4 linked regions of the Drosophila melanogaster genome follow. The protein of the gene in region 1 interacts with the protein of each later gene in a pairwise test. Each region holds a gene or a part of one and is shown on either strand. Other genes may lie near its edges.

What was found.
Region 2: the proteins of CG18766 (region 1) and CG15651 interact in a two-hybrid assay, tested with the Drosophila melanogaster proteins (one large-scale study listed by BioGRID).
Region 3: the proteins of CG18766 (region 1) and CG7115 interact in a two-hybrid assay, tested with the Drosophila melanogaster proteins (one large-scale study listed by BioGRID).
Region 4: the proteins of CG18766 (region 1) and Vti1b interact in a two-hybrid assay, tested with the Drosophila melanogaster proteins (one large-scale study listed by BioGRID).

Annotation. Positions count from the first base shown.
Region 1 is NT_033777.3:27,241,826-27,246,821, reverse strand, and holds CG18766 (uncharacterized protein), read left to right. Parts: upstream 1-1,572; 5' UTR 1,573-1,632; exon of another isoform or gene 1,633-1,805; intron 1,806-2,003; exon of another isoform or gene 2,004-2,176; intron 2,177-2,877; 5' UTR 2,878-2,993; coding exon 2,994-2,999; intron 3,000-3,058; coding exon 3,059-3,375; intron 3,376-3,446; coding exon 3,447-3,569; intron 3,570-3,631; coding exon 3,632-4,112; 3' UTR 4,113-4,487; downstream 4,488-4,996. Other genes in the region: CG17991 (uncharacterized protein), read right to left, coding at 4,606-4,996.
Region 2 is NT_033778.4:20,983,329-20,988,429, reverse strand, and holds CG15651 (uncharacterized protein), read left to right. Parts: upstream 1-1,929; 5' UTR 1,930-2,227; coding exon 2,228-2,965; intron 2,966-3,024; coding exon 3,025-3,141; intron 3,142-3,198; coding exon 3,199-4,062; 3' UTR 4,063-4,592; downstream 4,593-5,101. Other genes in the region: CG3216 (uncharacterized protein), read left to right, coding at 1-318, 377-701, 763-1,597; CG9313 (uncharacterized protein), read right to left, coding at 4,631-4,817, 4,888-5,101.
Region 3 is NT_033779.5:7,819,785-7,825,905, reverse strand, and holds CG7115 (uncharacterized protein), read right to left. Parts: upstream 4,372-6,121; 5' UTR 3,850-4,371; intron 3,265-3,849; 5' UTR 3,183-3,264; coding exon 2,806-3,182; intron 2,455-2,805; coding exon 1,878-2,454; intron 1,819-1,877; coding exon 1,555-1,818; intron 1,479-1,554; coding exon 1,426-1,478; intron 1,327-1,425; coding exon 1,023-1,326; 3' UTR 556-1,022; downstream 1-555. Other genes in the region: Rack1 (receptor of activated protein kinase C 1), read left to right, coding at 1-205; LanB1, read right to left, coding at 5,516-6,121.
Region 4 is NT_033777.3:18,397,734-18,400,855, forward strand, and holds Vti1b (vesicle transport through interaction with t-SNAREs 1b), read left to right. Parts: upstream 1-1,975; 5' UTR 1,976-2,058; coding exon 2,059-2,217; intron 2,218-2,277; coding exon 2,278-2,487; 3' UTR 2,488-2,606; downstream 2,607-3,122. Other genes in the region: Wdr37 (WD repeat domain 37), read right to left, coding at 3,094-3,122.

The sequences.
Region 1 (4,996 bases):
TTGATGGGGCGCTACTGCCACCCATCTGCCTCACTTCTCAATGGAATCCTGCGCAGCTTCTCCGGGCGATTTCGCCCCACCTAATGATGATTGCCGATGATAGCGTTATGGGTGCTCCTTGCTGCTCTTTTCCCGCCACTAATGACGTTCGCATTTGGGAGCTGATGCTCTCGGCGCCTCACAACCTAATGATGATGACCGGCGAATATGGAGAATGTGGGTAAGCTGAGTATGAGGGGGCAAATATGTAGTAGTAATGCGTACACTTGAGGTTAGTGCAATAGTCACAAGTTTGGAAAATAGTGAAATATACTTAAGTAAAAGTAATAATACATTTTAAACACTAGCATGCATTTACCATTAAAAATATATTTTAGCTAATGATTCATTAAAATAAATTCACTAAAATAACAGTTATATAAGAGAGGTGCCATCTTAAAATTATATTAAAAATGTTGCACAATAAATTAAGATAAGTATTGTACTATACATATAATAGTTTAATATGATTTGATTTTAAGGGTAACTATTAAGCTGACCATTATTGTTTATAGAAATGATAAAAGGTGGGGGCTGCACGATGATGTTGTAGCTATTAAAATGTCAAGTTCTTGAAGATGATGACATATTCATTTTGTATTCCTAAACAATCTGTACTTAGTAACAAAAGAAAAAGATACATATTTGCAATATAGAAATTTGTAAACACTGAAGAACATAATTGTTTATAATAATATATTTAGGGAGAATGAAAATAGATTGATATTCAACTAAAACCTATTTGAAAGTAAAAATATGTGTCAATAACTAGAAATTTACGTAATATATTTTTCAAAATACAAATAAACAACATTAGTTTGTATGTCTATTATTAATTATCTCAAAGTTTACTATTTATATAGTTGGCTAGGTTCGTAGATTTTTGAATATTTGGTGACCTTGTTATTGGGATTTCGCTTCCCCCAATTTCTTCTTCCTCTGCCTTGCCCCACCCCCATCGCCTATCGCCCCGCCCCGCCAGCACTTTTTCATCGAGACGATGTGCAATTTAATGATGATTACCCCACAAGCAAAGCCAACTGACGACGACTTTGTGGCAGCAGCGACATTATCATTTTTTGTTATTTAGCCCGCTAATGACGTTTGCTTTTGTTGTTGTTGTTGTTGCTCCATCGCACAACCTAATGATGATGATGATGACCGGCACATACGTGTCGGTGTGACTGTGCCAGTGTGTGTGTGCATTATGCTCCAAGAAAAGCGATTTGTTGAAGGGAGGCGGGAGTAGGTGGTGGTGATGATGATGATGAGCGATGAAATGCGCTTGCTTTGTTGCGCCCTAACGAGCCGAGATTGAAGTAAAAGTACTGTATTGAGCACGATAAATGGCAGATGACTTGGTTCTATTGGCCTAAAGCCGCAATAAACATTTTCAATTTCCCACCTTTTGGCGCTGTTCGAAACCCCAACGCACTGCACTGGCGACTGTCTGGCAACGCCATGTCACACTAGCCGCACCGCTCACACCATGTTGCTCTTGCCATGCCATGCTGTCTCGCTCACGCCGAGAACATCATTATAGAGTCGAATTGCGAGAGCTGCGCAGCGTAGGAGCTACAAACTACGTTTTTCGTGTGTTTCCCTCTTGAAGATAATTAAAATTTAATTATTTGACTTATTATTAAGTTTTGTGCCCACGCTGTTGGCGTCGTAGTGTTGTTGTTTCGCCCGTTGTTGCATGGAGCAAAGCGAAAAACGTAACAATAGAACGCAATCAACGCAAGAAAATCGGATGTGGATGCGATGTGAGTGTGTGTATCTCTGAAATGGGAAAAGTGTGTGCGTGTGTGTATTCGAGAAAAGTAACCTCTCACCCCCCGCGAACTTACATATATGTACATTGGCTCCAATGCTGCTATCCCGCAGCCGCCGTCGCCGTCGACGTCGGCGGAGCATCTTCATCCGCATCTGAGCCCAACTCCCTTCTACACTTGAGTTACCGCTTCACTTCGATTCCAAACGTCGCCGCATCCACTTCTCATCTTCTGCTGCTGCCGCAGCTGCTGCATGCATATCGCAACTTGTTTCGCTCGCACAATTAATATTTGTTTACCGTTTACCGTTCGATTTGCATTGCATGCGTGTGTGTTTGTGCGGGAGCGGCTGAGCTGCGTCGGTGTGTGTGAGCCGGCTTAATGATAATTGAAAGCTAGAAAATAGACAAAGTACACCGACTAGTAAATACCCTTTAGTGCCAGAAAATGGGTTGTTAGCCAATGGGATTACGGTACAAACAACACGGAAGCGACAATAACCCATTTTAAAATCATTGGATGCCAAATTTAAAACAGTTCCTATAACATTTTGTTTCCTGTGATAAGAATTGTTAAAAATACTTGCGTTTTAAAAGTTTAAGCTGAAATTAATTAGTGAATATAAATAGAACTTCAAATTGTGCATAATTATATCGTATAGTAATTAATACCCATGACAACTAGGGAATGAGTCCTTCTAGGAGCTTAAAAATACATAAATATTTCTATGAATCCAAACTCTGCTGCAATATAATAGAATTTTATGTGTATTACAACATTATACCCTTTAATTGCCGCGAGAACTAAGTTAACTATGAAATGCAATCATTCGTAACCCTTTTTGTGGGAAGGTATTAGGCTACAAAAGATTAATTACCATTTCAATTCAATTAAATAGTCATCAAATAGGTGGCTGACCATATGTTCGGTTGTTTATTTACGTGTGGTGTGCACTTTTTAAGAAATCCCTGAAACTCATAGGGATTGCAATATTAATACGTCTAACAATACAAATAGTAAACAACGACACCTGCACGTTAACTAATCATTTGATTTATTTCAGGAGCGAATCCGTGTACAGTATGCCAGCCCACTAGATAAACCGCTTCATGTCCTCCATCAGCTGGCAGACGAAGATTGTCGGGCAATCCCATTTGTCGGCAGTAAGACCCATGTGAAATGCCTGTAAGTTGTCTTTGGAATCAGTAGCTTTATCATCAATATAATCGTATACCTATTCGCAGTATGAAAAATTCAACAAAAAGCGCCGACAATGGGAGGATAGTGGTGTTCTAGAGCTGATCAAACTATGGAAAGTCTGCGCCTATGAGCTGCGCACCATTAAACGCAATGGCCATCTGTATGTGGCAATGGCCAAGCAGCTAACCTCGCTGGGCGTCCCTGTTACCGCACTCGAGGTTCACTTTAAAGTCAACAATCTAACGCAGCGCTACCGGCAGGAGCAGAAGACCTTTGAGACCACAGGCATCATCAGCACCTGGAAGTTCTACAGTCAAGTGGATGATGTGTTTAAGAGTCTGGCCGCACACACCGGTTACAAGTTGGTTGAGATATGATAGATACTTCCCATATAGCAATCCCAAACTAACAAAATATCTTATTATTTTCCAGAGACAAACGCATGACAAGTGCGTCCAATACGAGCAGCTTACCATCCACATCCGAGTCACCAGTTTGGAAGAATCCAATGTCTCAGCAAGAGTTTAATAGTAACAACACGGAGGGGTTCTATAAGTAAGCACTAGCATTGGAACACCTTCCTCACAACATGTTTAAATAACAATTGGGATTTGCAGGACCGAGTACGGGATGCATCGGCACTTTATGGACCACTCCCAGCCACCACCCAATGCCGGCAGCGTGGACAACTTCATGGCCTCATCGGCGGCCGTGGCGGCGGTGGCTGCCGCTGCCTCAGCCCGCCTGGCGGATAACAACATGGATCAGCAAATGAACACGGCTGCCGGTGGAAGCGGTGGCAGTGGTGGTGGTGGGGGCAACACCAATGGAGGCGTGGCCAACTACCAGAAGATCAAGAAGTCGCACGAGGACTACGACAAGTTCGTGGACATTGTGAAGAACATCGTGGACACGCACAAGAGCACTCCCGATAAGGTGGACACGTTCGGCGACTTCATCAAATCGTACATGAAGCGCTGGCCGGAGCGGCTGCAGGACGAGGCCATCAACCACATCACCAACTATGTGATCGTGAAGAACATGGAGCACAGCATGGTCAGCAGCCACAATCCCGAGGGGGTGAACAACCGACAATAACAATACAAGCAGGAGCCCAACAACTGAACGAGTTGTTGGACGACGCAGCTCCAGGAACCAGGCACAGAAGCCGAACGAAGTGAGACGTTAGGCGAGGATTACTTAAGGTGGCGCGCAGTTACTTAACCGCATCTGAGTTGCGGCCAAGTTCATTGGACACACACACGGCATACAGTATTTTTTGTATAGTTAAAATATACATTGGAGTTTTAGTTCTCGACGATCGCGCCCTCGATACAGAGTTGACTTCCGTAAAGAGGGGGCTGGATCGATCAATCGTGCATAGAGATCCTAGGGAGTACATTACATTTAGACACCATTTCCTACTGTTAGCTGTAAACTATTATGCATAAATTAATAAATGCTTTAACGATTATTTATGATTGGTAGTAAGAATGCACTATTGACACGTAGTCTTAGGAAAATTGTACACTTTACAATTTAAATAGATATTCAAATTACTTCTTGCTTCTCTTGCAGATCTTGAGTTTACCTAGTGTCCGTCTGCCTCCGCTAGGTTTTCCTTCGTGTAATCCAAAACACGACGCTTCATACGACAGATGTATTGGCTATGCATGAGGTACATTTTGAGGAATCCCTTGATCGCTATGAAAGTCAATCCCCCAAGAAGAGTTTGTTGCAATCTATCGTCGACAGAGCTGTAAAGAACTCTACCCACGTACATGGATATGGTGGGCAAGAGGATGGCTCCACAGACCACCCGCGATGCTGAATATTCGGTCATTGGCGCAGAAGGGTATGGTTCGGTCTGGTGGTCATATTTCCGTCCTAGGCACATCATTGAAAGACTTCGCAGCAATGAATAACATATTCTAATGAAGCGCAACAGGGCATCTTCCCAGGGAATTAAGCGTCCAAGTATC
Region 2 (5,101 bases), on another chromosome or scaffold:
CGGTGCGTTTCGTGGGCGCCTGCATCGATCTGCCGCGACCCACCGTGCTCATCCTCACCGAATATTGCTCGAGGGGCAGTCTGAAGGATGTGCTGGAGAACGAGGCCATCGAGTTGGACTGGAACTTTCGCATGTCTCTCATCCACGACATTGTCAAGGGCATGAACTATCTGCACAATAGCGATGTGGCTGCCCATGGAAAGCTGAGGTCTTGCAATTGCCTGATAGACGGACGATTCGTTCTCAAGATCTCCGACTTTGGACTGAGAACGCTGACCACGCCCTCTGATTTTGTGCGGGATCAGAACTACTACCTCAGTGAGTTCCAAAGACATCAAATCAGTTTCCTTTTACTGAGTGGTGCATATTATTGCAGAGCTCTTGTGGATTGCTCCCGAACTGCTTCCACTGACCACCATACCTGGTTGCTGTCCAGCCACGCAGCGCGGCGATGTGTACTCCTTTGGCATTATTCTGGAGGAGATCGTCAACCGTGGTGGACCCTACCAGGAGGCGCGCCAGCAGATGGACGTTCACACGATCCTGCACAAGGTGCGCCAGTGCAATGGATTCCGTCCGCTCATCAGAGAACGCGAGTGTCCACCTGATCTGCTGGAGCTAATGGAGAAGTGCTGGGCAGACAATCAGGAGGAGCGGCCCACTTTCTCCACCATACGCAGTAATATTCGCACCATAATGAAGTAAGTGTCCTTGGTATCTTATCTTGGTATCTTAGTTATAAGCAATTTTAAACACCTGCAGAGGCTTCTGTGAGAATCTAATGGATGATCTACTGAATCGCATGGAGCAGTATGCCAACAATCTCGAGAGTCTCGTGGAGGAGAAAACCCGCCAGTTGAGCCTGGAAAAGCAGCGTACGGAGGAGCTGCTCTACCAAATCCTGCCGCGTCCTGTGGCCCAGCAACTGATGGCCGGCGATCTTGTGGAGCCGGAGGAGTTCAGCAGCGTGACCATATACTTTAGTGACATCGTTGGCTTCACCGAACTGTGCGCCCGTAGCAGTCCCATGGACGTGGTCAACTTCCTGAATGACTTGTATAGCACATTTGACCGAATCATTGGCTTCTACGACGTCTACAAAGTGGAAACGATTGGTGATGCCTATCTGGTGGTTTCTGGATTGCCGGAGCCCAATGGTGACAAGCATGCCCGCGAGATTGCTCTAATGGCCCTGGACATCCTACGAGCAGTCAGCTCCTTCAATCTCCGCCATAAACCGGAATACAAGATACAGATTCGCATTGGGATGCATTCGGGTTCCGTGTGCGCCGGAGTCGTGGGCAAGAAGATGCCGCACTACTGTTTGTTTGGCGACACGGTCAACACGGCGTCGAGAATGGAGAGCACTGGCCAGCCGGGCAAGATACATGTGTCCTCGGCCACCAAGGCCATCCTGGACAAGTTCGGCACCTTCCAAATGGAGCAGCGCGGCGATGTCGAGCTAAAGGGCAAGGGCACGGTCACCACCTACTGGCTGAATAGCACCTCCGAGGGCGAGGCGCGTCCTCCGACTCCGCAGATCCTGACCACCGATGAGGTGCCCTTCCCGCTGCTCTTCGCCGGCATGGGAAAGTAGTCATTCTAGTTTTGATCGCTTAAAAGTCAGTATTATTTGAAGGGTCTCACAGATGTCCCATCCACAATTTTATTCGAAAATTTAATGTTTGTGTGGAGAAAACTACAATAACTTCATTAAGCACACTTACCTGATAAACATTTTCTCAGAAAAATATTTTATACTGTATTGAATTAAAGAGAACAATCGCTTTTAATGTTTTACAAAAAAAAAAATGATTTTGTCCTTTTTGCGCGGGAAAAGCGTAGTGGAAAGCTCTTAAAAATGGCATGATATACGGTCACATATCCTGGGAGGAAGCTTTTCATCCGTTTTTCCAGCTCCGGCGCCATCAGCTGTTCGAGCTGAAAGCGCTTTTCCGCGGGGTAGGAAATCGGTATTTGCGCATAGCCGAAGAAAAAGGAATAGGCACAAAAACAAAGTTCTCGAAAAGCGGAAAATAAAAAGTTAAATGAGTCCTTCAGTCAAGCCAATTGCACATTGAGTATGAGCAACAATCATCCTTGGAAGGATGTGCTGATGAAGAACGCGGTCATGTAGTTGCAGTGTAGATACCCGGGTGGACAAACAGATACAGATACACACAACATCAGAATCTAGCGAATCGCGAGCACATCCTGCACACTCGCCATGAAGGTGTTCCGACTGCGTCTGGTCAAGCTGCTGCTGCTCGGATTTCTGCTGGCCAATCTGGTGTTTCTCTATTACACGTGGAACACGCTGCTCTGGCGGCGGATAAGTAGGGCTCTGTCCGGTGAATCTCAGCCGGCAGAGGAACCGCCAAAGGCCGCCAAGCTGTCGCCCAAGGAGAAGCTGCGCAATGCCAACAAACACATACGCAAGTCCATCACCATCGTGTTCTATGGCCACTACAACTTTGAGCAGGATCTGAAGGCATCGATCGACAGCATCCTGGACGTGATACCCAACATGCCCATCCTGGTGCTTCAGGATGGCGGTGCCGAGTACGCCTATCCGCCGGTCAACTACGAACGGAACCTAACCGCCGGCGAGGAGCGCACCGTGCTATTCCAGAGTCTGTCCTTCGATGTGCGGCGAACGCGGCAGGAGCTGAATCCCTTGGCGTCCATTCGGACCAAATACGCTCTCATCATGCCGGACGGCGTGCGGCTGAACAGCAAGAACATCCTGCAGAAGATTCTGCGCGAGATCAACTCCATGGGCCTGCCGGGTCAGCCCAAGGAGCAGCGACCTCCAGTGCCGCCGGAGCAGTTGGTGCGACGCATGGTGCTAGTACCCTTCGCCGGCAATCTGAAGTCCTTCAGCAGCTGCGTCAAGATGAACCTGGATTTGCCCGACTGGACACTGGAGCTGGTGGCAACCAACGATACGAGACGATGTGATTTGGTGGGTAAAATTCAGGGATATGGTTTATAAGTTGCAAAAATAATGTATGTTCTTAACAGTTCCTGCAGAAGCACGCAATCCTGTTGGATGCAGCTGCTCTGGCAGCCATGCCCGAGCCCTTCTCCCTGCCCTTTCCGGAAATGCTCTACATGCAGGCCAAGATAGCCAATCTCTCGGTGAGTACTTTTTTATGCTTGTTTCCCAGCACCAATAACAACTGAAATCCTGTCCAGACCACGGTGTTCCCGCAAGCCTTTCAAGAGGGACGGCGTCTATTCGCCTCCTTTCACACCAAACAGCGGAGGATGGACCTGCGCCGTCGGCAGTTCCGTGAGATGTACAAGAAACTGCAGATCAAGCGGATCGTGAGAAGGGCATACAGAGTGCCAGGAAAGGCTCAGGCCCGGGAGGTTTGGGGTCAGGGTCACGGCTTGGTCCTGGATGGTCAGTTCTCGTCCTCGAACACCTCGCTGCCCCTGATCACCGACATCGATCTGTTCGGCTGCGAGCGGACCACCAAGTCCTGCATAGGCAGTGTCTATAACGAGAGACCGTACTACTCCTACCTGGGCAAGCATACGCCACCGTGCTGCCTGGACAAGCTGAGGACGACCTTCAACCATGTGCTGGAGGAGTTCGAGAACGTGGGCATACGCTACTGGCTGGACAACCGAGCCCTGCAGAGCGCCATCGAAACCAATCACCTGTCTCCGGATGCCTACGACATCGACATTAGCTTCAATGTCCAGGACCTGGAGCGATCCAATGCGATGAAGAAGTCGCAGAGCAAGCCCTATGTGGACAACGAGGGTTTCTATTGGATTAAGGCCACCGATGGCCATCATTTCCGCGTCCAGTTCTCAAAGCCCAACCAGGTGGGCGTCAACCTACTGCCCTATTCCATCAGTGGAACGGAGGCGAAGGCCAGTGGCTTCTTCGGCTGGAAGGCCAGAAGCTTCTCGGCGGACTACCTGCATCCGATGTCCACGGTGCTCTTTCTGGGCAAGAGCGTTATGTGCCCAAACAATGTACTGGAGTATCTGGAGGAGAAGCGCATCCGGGTGAAGTCCGCCGACTTGGATGCGGATGAGGATTGAGGCAGCTTTATTTAAAAATATAGTTTTAAAAAACACAAAATGTCTGTGAAAAGGATATTTTAATTTTTTTTTGCTAAACGAAATCGTGATTATTAAGGAATTATAGGATGCAGCCAATTAAAGTAAGCTATTAGTTCAGATTCTTGATATTAATGTTGTTTTAAAATCAATATACTAAACATCCGACTGAACGAACAATCCCTACAAATTTCATTTATATGAAATATCATTTTTAAAGTACAATGTTTTCAACTAGCATTATAATGTATCCTAATCTTCTTATGATCCTAAGATCTACAAAAACTACTTAAAAACGGATTTGATCGTAGTTGTTTCTATAATTTATTTCGTTTTTAAGCATATATACAATTTTGTGACTATATATACATTGCTTCTAAGTTCCTTTTGTTGGTTGATAGCAAATTTTTGTTAGATGGATAGAAACATAGCGTAACACAAGACGGATGAATCAGGATTCTTTCAGAACCAGCAGATAATCTATATGTGTAAAATATAATACATCAACTCTGAAAACAGTGTGTTTCTGGAATTGGTTAAAAGTTGGGATTTAACTTCGCACGGTTGTGGCTGCATCGGGCACCGCAGTTGAACCTTCCGGAAGTTCCCGCACCAGGGAAAGCAGCTTCTCCAACTTGCCAATCTGGAGGGTGTTCTGGTCGAGATACAGCTGCTTCTTCGGCGGCTTCACCATCATCCGGAGATTGGGCGATAGCTTCAGCGAAGTGGTGACGCCCCTAAAGACAGAAATTGGAATATATAAATATATATTGCCTATATAGATTGAATACTTGGTATGGTGCTTACTTCTCATCGCCCACCACAATGAAGGCGAGCTTCTCGTTGAAGGATAACCTGGTGAGCTTGTTCTTTCGCTTGGGCACCACGGCCTGGATGCAGATGGCCTTGTACTTATTCACATTTAGGTCGAAAACGTGGACCTTGCCCTCGGTGGTCACCGCTGCGAAGACGGTGCTCGAGTAAGGTGCCCACTTGACATCGCCAACGGCGGCACCAAGAT
Region 3 (6,121 bases), on another chromosome or scaffold:
GGCCTACGGACCCTCGATCAAGATCTGGGATCTGGCATGCAAGAAGACCGTTGAGGAGCTGCGCCCCGAGGTCGTTTCGCCCACGTCGAAGGCCGATCAGCCCCAGTGCCTGTCCCTGGCCTGGTCCACCGACGGCCAGACTCTGTTCGCCGGCTACTCCGACAACACCATCCGCGTCTGGCAGGTGTCTGTTTCGGCTCACTAAGCTACTGACCTTTGTAACGGGCGTCAAATTTGTTTAGCTAAAACAAAAATAAAATTTAAGCGTCCTTAACTGAAATTTGTGTATCTTGTAGCGGCTGAATTAGTTTTAACTTTAGGCTTTGGGCTATAGAGTTTTCTCCGGATAGATGGGAATAGTATAAACAGTGGGACAATTTAGTTTAGGCAGAAGATAAGTAAATGTTAATAAAGAAAACATTTTATATAAACTTTAATCGAAAGTGGATGTTTTTAATCCCTAAACTACAAACCAGATCATTTCATTGAAATCCAAAACGAATAATGTTGAGAAAAACAATTAGAAATTGAATTTAAGTAGCAAAACGAAATGTTCTCGTTTCGTATGCATTGTTTTATTCGTAAAAACATTTCGACATTTAGAAAATGTTTTCTTTTACACGTATAACAAATAAATTAAATAAATAGTTACGTGATGATGTTACCCTGACTGAGTCAGTGACTGTGATGATTTTCGTGTGCGAATTGGAAAAACGGAGTGCACGGCAATGTGGCGGCGGATGCAAACATATTTTGTTTAAACAAAACAACATTGACTAACAAACAACCTTAATATTAAGACAAATGATGAACGCATTTTCGAGTGATGAATGTGTATGCATGTCTGTAATGGGATGAATGAACGCTGCCTTTGGACAAGTAACAAAAAGGTCAAAAGGTATTTAGCAAAATGCCTAACTAGAAAAATTCGGGCACTTTCGTTTGTTTTTCTTGGGGAGAAGGAAATTTTTAGGAGAAAAGCTGAAGAGCATTTCTTAGCAGGCACTCTTATCTATCGTTTTTCATTTGGTTTTGATTGAATTCGAGCGTTGCACAACTGCAGGCGCAACTGGTTGAGATTTGGCTGGGACTTTTAGGGATTCTTCTCCCGCTTTTCCCGCTGAGCTGCCAATCTTGTAGACATCGTTCTTGAAGACGATCACCAGCACGGTGATGTTGTCCACGGAGCCACGTTTATACGACTCCATGGCAAGTGATTTGGCGCCAAAGTCCGGCTCTTTCAGATGCTCCAACGCAAAAGTGCAGGCCTCCTCATTGCTGAACGTGTCCCACAGCCCATCGGATGCCAGTATCAGAAAATGGGGTCTATAAGAAAGTATTTCATTAAATACAGGTCTAATGTAATGCACTTTACAACTATCAAATGGTCGTTTGGATTGTTGTTGCAAAGTGTTGTTCACTCACTTGTGATCGTTTAGTTCGAAGGTCAAAATGTCCGGCGTAGCAATCACCAGATTCTGTAAGCGTGTGGTTAAAAATAGTGTCAAGATTAGCCTCGTTAGTAACTCGTTGGAACCATCCCATTTTTCCCACCTTATCTTTAAGCGGATAGTCCCCTAGAGCACGTGACGTGGCCAACACCCCGGCCACACGCCAAACGCCTCGGAAGGCGATGAATCCGCCTGCATCGTGGATTCTCTTTCGTTCTCGCACTTGCTGCGGCTTGTGATCGAATGAAAGCGGTATGGCGATTCCACGCCAGTCGTACATGACTCCGCGGGAGTCGCCCACATTGGCCACAATCAGCTTTGAGCCCTGAACTATCGCTATTAGAGCGGTGGTTCCCGCAATGTTGGTCTGCAATTAAGATCAGTTAGAATTGTCTCTTAAGATTAAGTAAAAAGAGGTTCCCTTACCGCTCTCTTGGCCTGCTCCACAAGCTTGTAGTCGGCCGACATGATCTCGTCCGTGATCAGTTTACCAAAGTTAATACGTCCGTGTTCGATGTAGCACTTGGCTTCGTAGTTTGGAGGTGGCGCATTGGCTGCTCCGTTCTGTCCGTTGTTGTTGTTGTTGAGGAAGGAATCCTTGGCGGCTCCCAAATTCCCACTGGCTCTCATCGCCGAGTTTAATTGGACTGTGTAGATGTCGGCAATGGATGCCTCGGTTGTCTTTTGCTTAATAGCACTACAATCCGCCGTGGTGCTGTGGGCCTTCCTTAGACTATCCTTTCGCATCACCCCTGCCGTCGGTTCTGTGTTCTCCTTGTTTGCATCCTTGCGACTCTGCTTGCGCGCTAAATAGGGACTCTTATCGTAATCTCCGGAATTTCCTTCCGTCTTCAGAAGCTTGGACATCTCGATGATCTTATTGTAGATGTTCTTCACCAGCACATCCTTGGCGAAGTCTGCGGCAAACTCGCCGCCATGACCGTCAAATACGGCAAAGAAGGAGATACCAGTGTTGTTGTTGATGTTCTCCTCGATAATAAACCTAAGATGTAAATAAAAGTCTTTAGTCTTTAGTTTCTTGGAATGTGTACATTTGAATAGAGATGTCACTAAGTTGTTTCTAAAGACCCAAATTATTATTATCTAGTCTAAATTTGACATATGGAAAAGATTTATATAGCTATAAAGTGTTGCAATGCTATTTAATGAATGAAAATGAGTGTTGCCAAGAATTTATTCCTCAATAGATCATTTAAATCTAATAAAAACACTCTTAGCCAATTTGTAAATCCTAAAATGCTGTCGATCGTGACAGATCTTTGTATATTTCAGCTACTATGTAAGTGCTATCTACAATATAGTTTATCCCTGGGAATTGTGACTTCATACGAACCTATCCTCCATTCTTGGCCTGCGTCCCAGGACCGCGAAGGCCGAGCTCTGCTGCTTCATCTCCTCCCAGCTCTGGTGATCACCAGCACTGGCCGACAGCTCCATCATCTTGACGGCCTTCTGGCGACCGAGGGTTGCCTGGATGCGTCCCAGGATGCTGCGACTCCACACATCTACCGCTTGCAAATAGAGCAACAGGACGAAGAGGATCAAGCCGCAGAAGATGACCTCCGGCCGAAGGACATACAGTCGGCACAGCTTCCATATGTAGGCCAGCGGGGAGTTGATGGACGAGAAGCCCACCGCAAATTTGGACAGGATTTTCATGTGCGATACGTATGTCTGATAGAACACCTTGTCTTCCAGTTCGTCGTCCATGGGAAATGCCGGGCTATCTGTATACTCTGCTGGCGCTTGATTTCGGCTCTGTCAATGTGTTTCAAGCAAATCGCATGCGAAACTGTCAGCGGTAAATGTTGATGTGGGTGTCAGTGGGTGTATATGCAAGGAATAAAAAACGAAATTAAAGTAAACAACAAAGGGGTTGGGCATTTTAATATGCAAGACTTTCCCGTTTAAATTCTCTCAGACTCGGACGGAATCGGAAGTAATATAATTTCCCATTTTTCGATGTCTGAGATCATTATTTACTTTATGGTTTCAAAGAACTCTGCTTAAGATCATTTCGAAAAACATTTTATAATGTTAAAATTTTAAATTATTTTTATATGTAGTTGAACGCAAGTTTTAGTATTATAGCAAATAGTTTATTACACTGTTGATTAATAATTTAAAATGAATGCGATTAATTTATTAATAAAAACGATATCTTTTTATAAAAATTTTAACGGTAACAATATATTGATCAACTTTAAAAGCTTTTCAGAAAACTGTATGAAATTATTTGTTTCGAATTCAGAATTTTTAAAATTTTTACTATTTTTTTTTATGCACTTATGCAGATTCCGACGCGACCTCAATTGAATGGGAAAGATTGCAGATTGCTCGCAAAATGAAAAACCCAGTCCATTTGGGGAAAACGTACTCTGGGGGCAAAGCACTTGAAGCTGCACGTCAGATGTCGTTTTATTTTGCTTTTGTTTTGATTTTCTTATTTTCTGAATTTTCCACCGCCGCCGATGTTCCCGTTATTTTGGTTTATCGTCCGTCCCCGTTCCTTTTCGCCGTGTCCCTTTTTTCTGCGCTTACAAACGCTCTTTTGTCGCTCGCCCGTCGCCTTTCGTTGGCATTATATTTTCGGATGTTCTTCTTATTTTAAAAATAAACTCAGTTTCTTGCATAAAATCAGAACATCCGCACTGCGTGCGTGTGTGCGAGTGTGTGCTCTTTATACGTATGCACGTCGCACATCTGTCAATCGCGCCTGTGTGTGTGAGTGGCCGCACGGATGTCGCAATAAATAAATAAAAAATATATATATATTTTCACGCACTGCAACCTGAAAACCGATCCAAACAATGCCGACTTGTTCGGCGACACGTCTGTGTTTAATTAAAACAGAGCTCGAAACTTGCACTTGTTGAGATTTCAGCTGAAATTGATGAACTTTTGAAATATCGATAGGGGCCGAAGCGATAACTCTTATCGATAGCCAGCAGGGGTACTCTTTTCATGCAAAACTTTAGTGATTTTCGAGCAGGCAGGGATAACTAGAAATTGCATGATTTCAAGCACTTTTGCATTTTTTGCATTACCTTGACCTTTGTGCTTGAAGTGGGCTTCTCTGCAACTGTGCCAACTGCATTATTAATTTTTTAATTGTTATTAAATACCTGCTGAGCTCCTTAACGATCTTCTGTAACGGTGATCCATTCGTAACAACTTCCGGTTTTAAAAGAACCTCTGGCCCCCGAAAAAAAAATGTGGAAAATTATTTGGACGAAAATTAAAAACAAAAACAAGCCGCACGCGACGCGCAGAAGAACTAAAACAAAACGGAAAATGGAATAAATTGGCAATGTTTATGGCAGCATAAGTATACAATAGTATAGAAATCGAAGTACAGTGAAAATAGCATAAGCCGAATTTTTGTATATATTTGAACTCCAACAAACTTCTGTTTAAATACTTTTTATCTATATTAAGCTTTTAGGCTTCATTTCCAACGTTATTAATATTGTTTTATTCAACGTTTGTAAATAATATATTTCTGTTATTATACTTAAAAGTAGTTGCATTTGTTCAGCGAAAAAGATTTATTGTTGGGAAATAGAACTGTGTTGCAAAAATACTCTCACCTGTCGCTCTCCATTTAAATGACCATTATCTCATTCCTCTCCCGATCGAGCCCAAACAAATGCTAGACATTTCCACATTTAAGTAGTTTTATTTAATTACATTAATTGCATTACAAAATGGTATAGGGATAGTATAAGAAAAACTTAGCTCAGTGTGTACACATTAAAAGTGAAGGCATCGATTTCTTTCGCTCAATTTTTAAAATTAACATTGCAGTGTTGGTTTTCGCTTAGAGTACAAAACGTAACGGTAACTTAACAGTGGTTACATAATAACTGTCGCCTTCCTAGTTGTTCTTGTAGTTCTTTACTTGATTCTCGTATTTCGCAATTTGCTTATTTGTTCATGAATATGGCAATTTAGATGGCCACGCAAATGGATCTAAAAAATATTACTGATTTTAGTTATTTGCTTGTAATAGTATTAAAACTGCATTACTTACGTTTCCCAATCTACGTATAGCACTGCCTGTAGTGCGACCCCCGCTCCTTGATGTGAATCAGGTGCTCGTTGAGCTCCTTGTTCAAGGGGCCGATCTCGGCCTGCAATCGCAGTAGTTGTTGGTTCTTGTTCAGATAGACGGTCTGCAGATCGTTCAGATCCTTTAGCTTGGCGTTCGTATCGACTGTTAGTTTGGAGGCCCTCTGGAGCAGCTGCTTGGCCCTTTCCCTGGCATTTTCGGAGCGACTGGCGCGATCGGTGAGGGTCTGATTGGTGGCACTTGTGGCAGACTGAAGATTATTGGCCTCTCCGCGAGCCCTCATGGCCTCCAGTTTGACGCTACCCGCTTCCTTGGTTATCTCCTTGGCATCCCGATCGTTCTTCATTATGTTATTCTGCAGTTTCTGCACTTTCTTGGCCAATTTCTCAACCTGCTGTGCTGTGTTATTGGCCGGAGCTTCGGCGGAATACGTTTCCTCATCGATCTTCTCCAGATCCTGACCGGCCAACTCAATGTTACTGTTCGCCTGCTGAATGGCATCCTTGGCTTTACCCTGGGATTCATCTGCCGCCGCCAGGCTCTCCACGACCGAATTGGCAGAGTCCAGGATCTTATC
Region 4 (3,122 bases), 8.8 Mb from region 1:
CAATTCAATGTGAATCCACAGTGGAGGCGATCGAGGAACAAAAACAGTCCGCACCATCATTTATTAACGCCAATTGTCAGTTCAATTCATTTTCTTCAACTGCTTCTGTGCGAAGAAACCGTTTCATTGCGTCACAAAGATGATTATGCTCATATATTATCGAACTAATGGGGGGAATTCAAAATTATATAGAGCTGTAAAACAGGAGCCAGCTAATAAATCGGCTAGTATCAACTCCTTATAAATAGCCTCTTTACGCAATACTATTGAATACAGAAAAATAAGCCATCAAAGTCAGCATTATTTGCAGTGTTTGCCGACCACTTCCCCGATAAGCCATACATATAGAGTTACGTAACTGGAGATCGGCGACTCGAGTGGCCGGGCTTTGGCTTTATATAGCTAATTAACTGGACGATCGACCAGGAGCACTTGTGTGCAACTCGGCAAAATACTATACTTCAGATGTGAAATTGCTAGATTTCTAGAATCGATCAGATTTTCCCCATTCATAAACTGGGTCTGCGACTGTGGCTAATCAGCGCAATACTGATTGATCGATTGGAAGTGCCATTGGACAATTTATAGAGCGATCCATAAATCATAATCGACTGGTATTTATTGTGCGCTATTCGCAACTACTCGAGCCCAGCTTTTAGGGTTTCCGTTCCAGCTGGAGATCTTTGTGGGGACGCAAGGCTTCTGGAAACCGAGACCCCGAGAAAAAGATCACATGATAGAACCCCCCCATATGATTATGATGATTGCATAAAACTCGAAAACTCGCGACTTTGCAAAGAGAGCGCGACTCACAGATACTCTGGAGAGTATTATATTCACATGACAAGGGTTCGACTAACACACACACACACTGCGAACGTAGTAGGTGCGTACCTGAGTATCTCAGAGATACTCGGGGCTTACGAAAGAGATAGCGCTACGCGTATCTGCCGCTCTGACTTTAGCTGCGACTTCTGGCAGGTGTTTGCACAATGGGTCCCATGACAGGTGTGCCCCGCAGCCCCCAGTAAGCTCACTTTTCCGACCAGTAGCTGTCAGCAGCCAGCATCACGTGCCAAAGTGCATTCAAATTGGGCTTAATTGCACATACTCCCTGCTGCCAAAGCACGTGCTTTGGATGGCTAGTTTACAGGGGATATGGGATATATACGGGTGGATAACCCGTGGCACAGCTTTTACACCTCGAACCCGCCGGGTTTTTCCAGTTGCTTCGAGTTTTTTCGAGTTTTTCGCTTACCTTCACAGCTCCGAAAACGCTTTTTATGTCAAAGACACACCAGATTCGATTCCCCGCGAGTGCGAGCGATAAATTTAGAACTTGTTTGTTGCCGAGCGAGAGTATCTTTATTCGAATCTGAATCTGAATGGAGCGCAGCACACGTCTGCTCACCGCCAGCGATCGACTGCGTTTAAATTTGGCACTCGCTGCCGCGACTTCGGTTCGAAAATCTCGCGATCGCCTCGAAATGCCTCGCACTCTCTGTTACTCAGCACACACACCCTGTGAATTCAGGCGGCTCTCTCGGCGCGGGCATGCCAACTATGTATGATCGGTGACCGTTATCGCAAATCAGAAATCGACAAATACCCGTACTAAAGTCAAAATCCTCGAGTGCTACATGTGTCTACCAAAAAAATGGTCAGTTTCCAAAAACCTAATCACTCTTAGGATCACCCAATTAATCACCATTAATATGTGATATTTTTGCAGTAACTAGATGTGCTTGTTGATAGTGAGGAAGCCAATCTCAAAAAAAAACCAATTGAACTAACACTTCTTACAATTTAAACTTTTAATTAGAATTTAGAATATAAAATAATATTAAGCTAATTTGGTAACAGTTTCATTTTAAATTTCAACTGTTTTAAGTGCTGTAAAGTGCATAAAGTGTTAACAGGTGGCTCCACGCACAACGCGTTAGTACCTTACCAAATAGCGTTTTCACTGCACCGCTCACCACGGCCACACTCTGCCTTTGTTTTGTTTTGATATTCCCACTGCATCGCATTTAATTTATTAAAAGCTGTTACCAAATTATGTCCTACGCCGGCTATAGCCAGCTGCCCAGCGGCAGCGACCAGGAGCGCAGGCAGGCGCAGCTCGCGGCCAGCACCTACGACGTGCTACAGCGGACGACGGACAGTATCCAGCGATCCAACCAGATTGCCATCGAAACGGAGAACATGGGGGCGGAGGTAATTACCCAGATAGTAGCCATTAACAGGGCTAACTAATGCTCGCTTACGCATCAACAGGTACTCGGCGAACTGGGCGAGCAGAGGGAGTCGCTGCTACGCACCACGCGCCGCCTGGAGGACGCCGATCAGGATCTGTCCAAATCGAGGGTCATCATTCGGAAGTTGAGCAGGGAGGTGCTCTACAACAAGATCATCCTAATCCTGATTATCATTCTGGAGGTGGGCATACTCGTCGGCTTGCTGGTGCTGAAGTTCGCTCACCTGTGAGCCAATGCCATTCTATTCCAAAGTCGTAACCACCAAACAGGCGATGGACTATATATACCTATTAATCGTTACGAATTCTTTGTCCTAGTTAATAAGCTTATAAATGTATATACTCCACTAAAATGCACTTCCAATTCAAAAAGGTCAGTTTTAGGATATACCCAGCGATGAATCGGGTGGTTGATTATGTTTATTCATGTTGGCTAAAGCGTTAATGCCTTAGACGTCTATAATATGTATTATGGTAGTAAAACACAGATAAAATCGGGTCTGGACATCGGAAGCTCTGCACTCCGAAGAGTTTAGCCCAGTCCCAACGCATATACATACGTATGCTATAACAATGATAATATGTAGTTCGTGCAGCACGCTATGCCACGACTATTTGGCAAAAAGCAACGTTAATTACATTCAGTGGGCGACAACGAGATAGTAGAACATCCTGAACAATGTCTGCATAATACTTGATCTATGATAAACGGTTACATATATGTAAGTATGTGGGCATCGCTTTGGGGATGCTTCTTTGTTCGAGAGATGTTTGGGATTTCGCAGAGCTGCGCCTCCTCATTCCTTTGGTGCAGCAGCTCTCCGCTTCAGTTGCCTTCAATTGTCCTTCGGAAGAACGATGGACC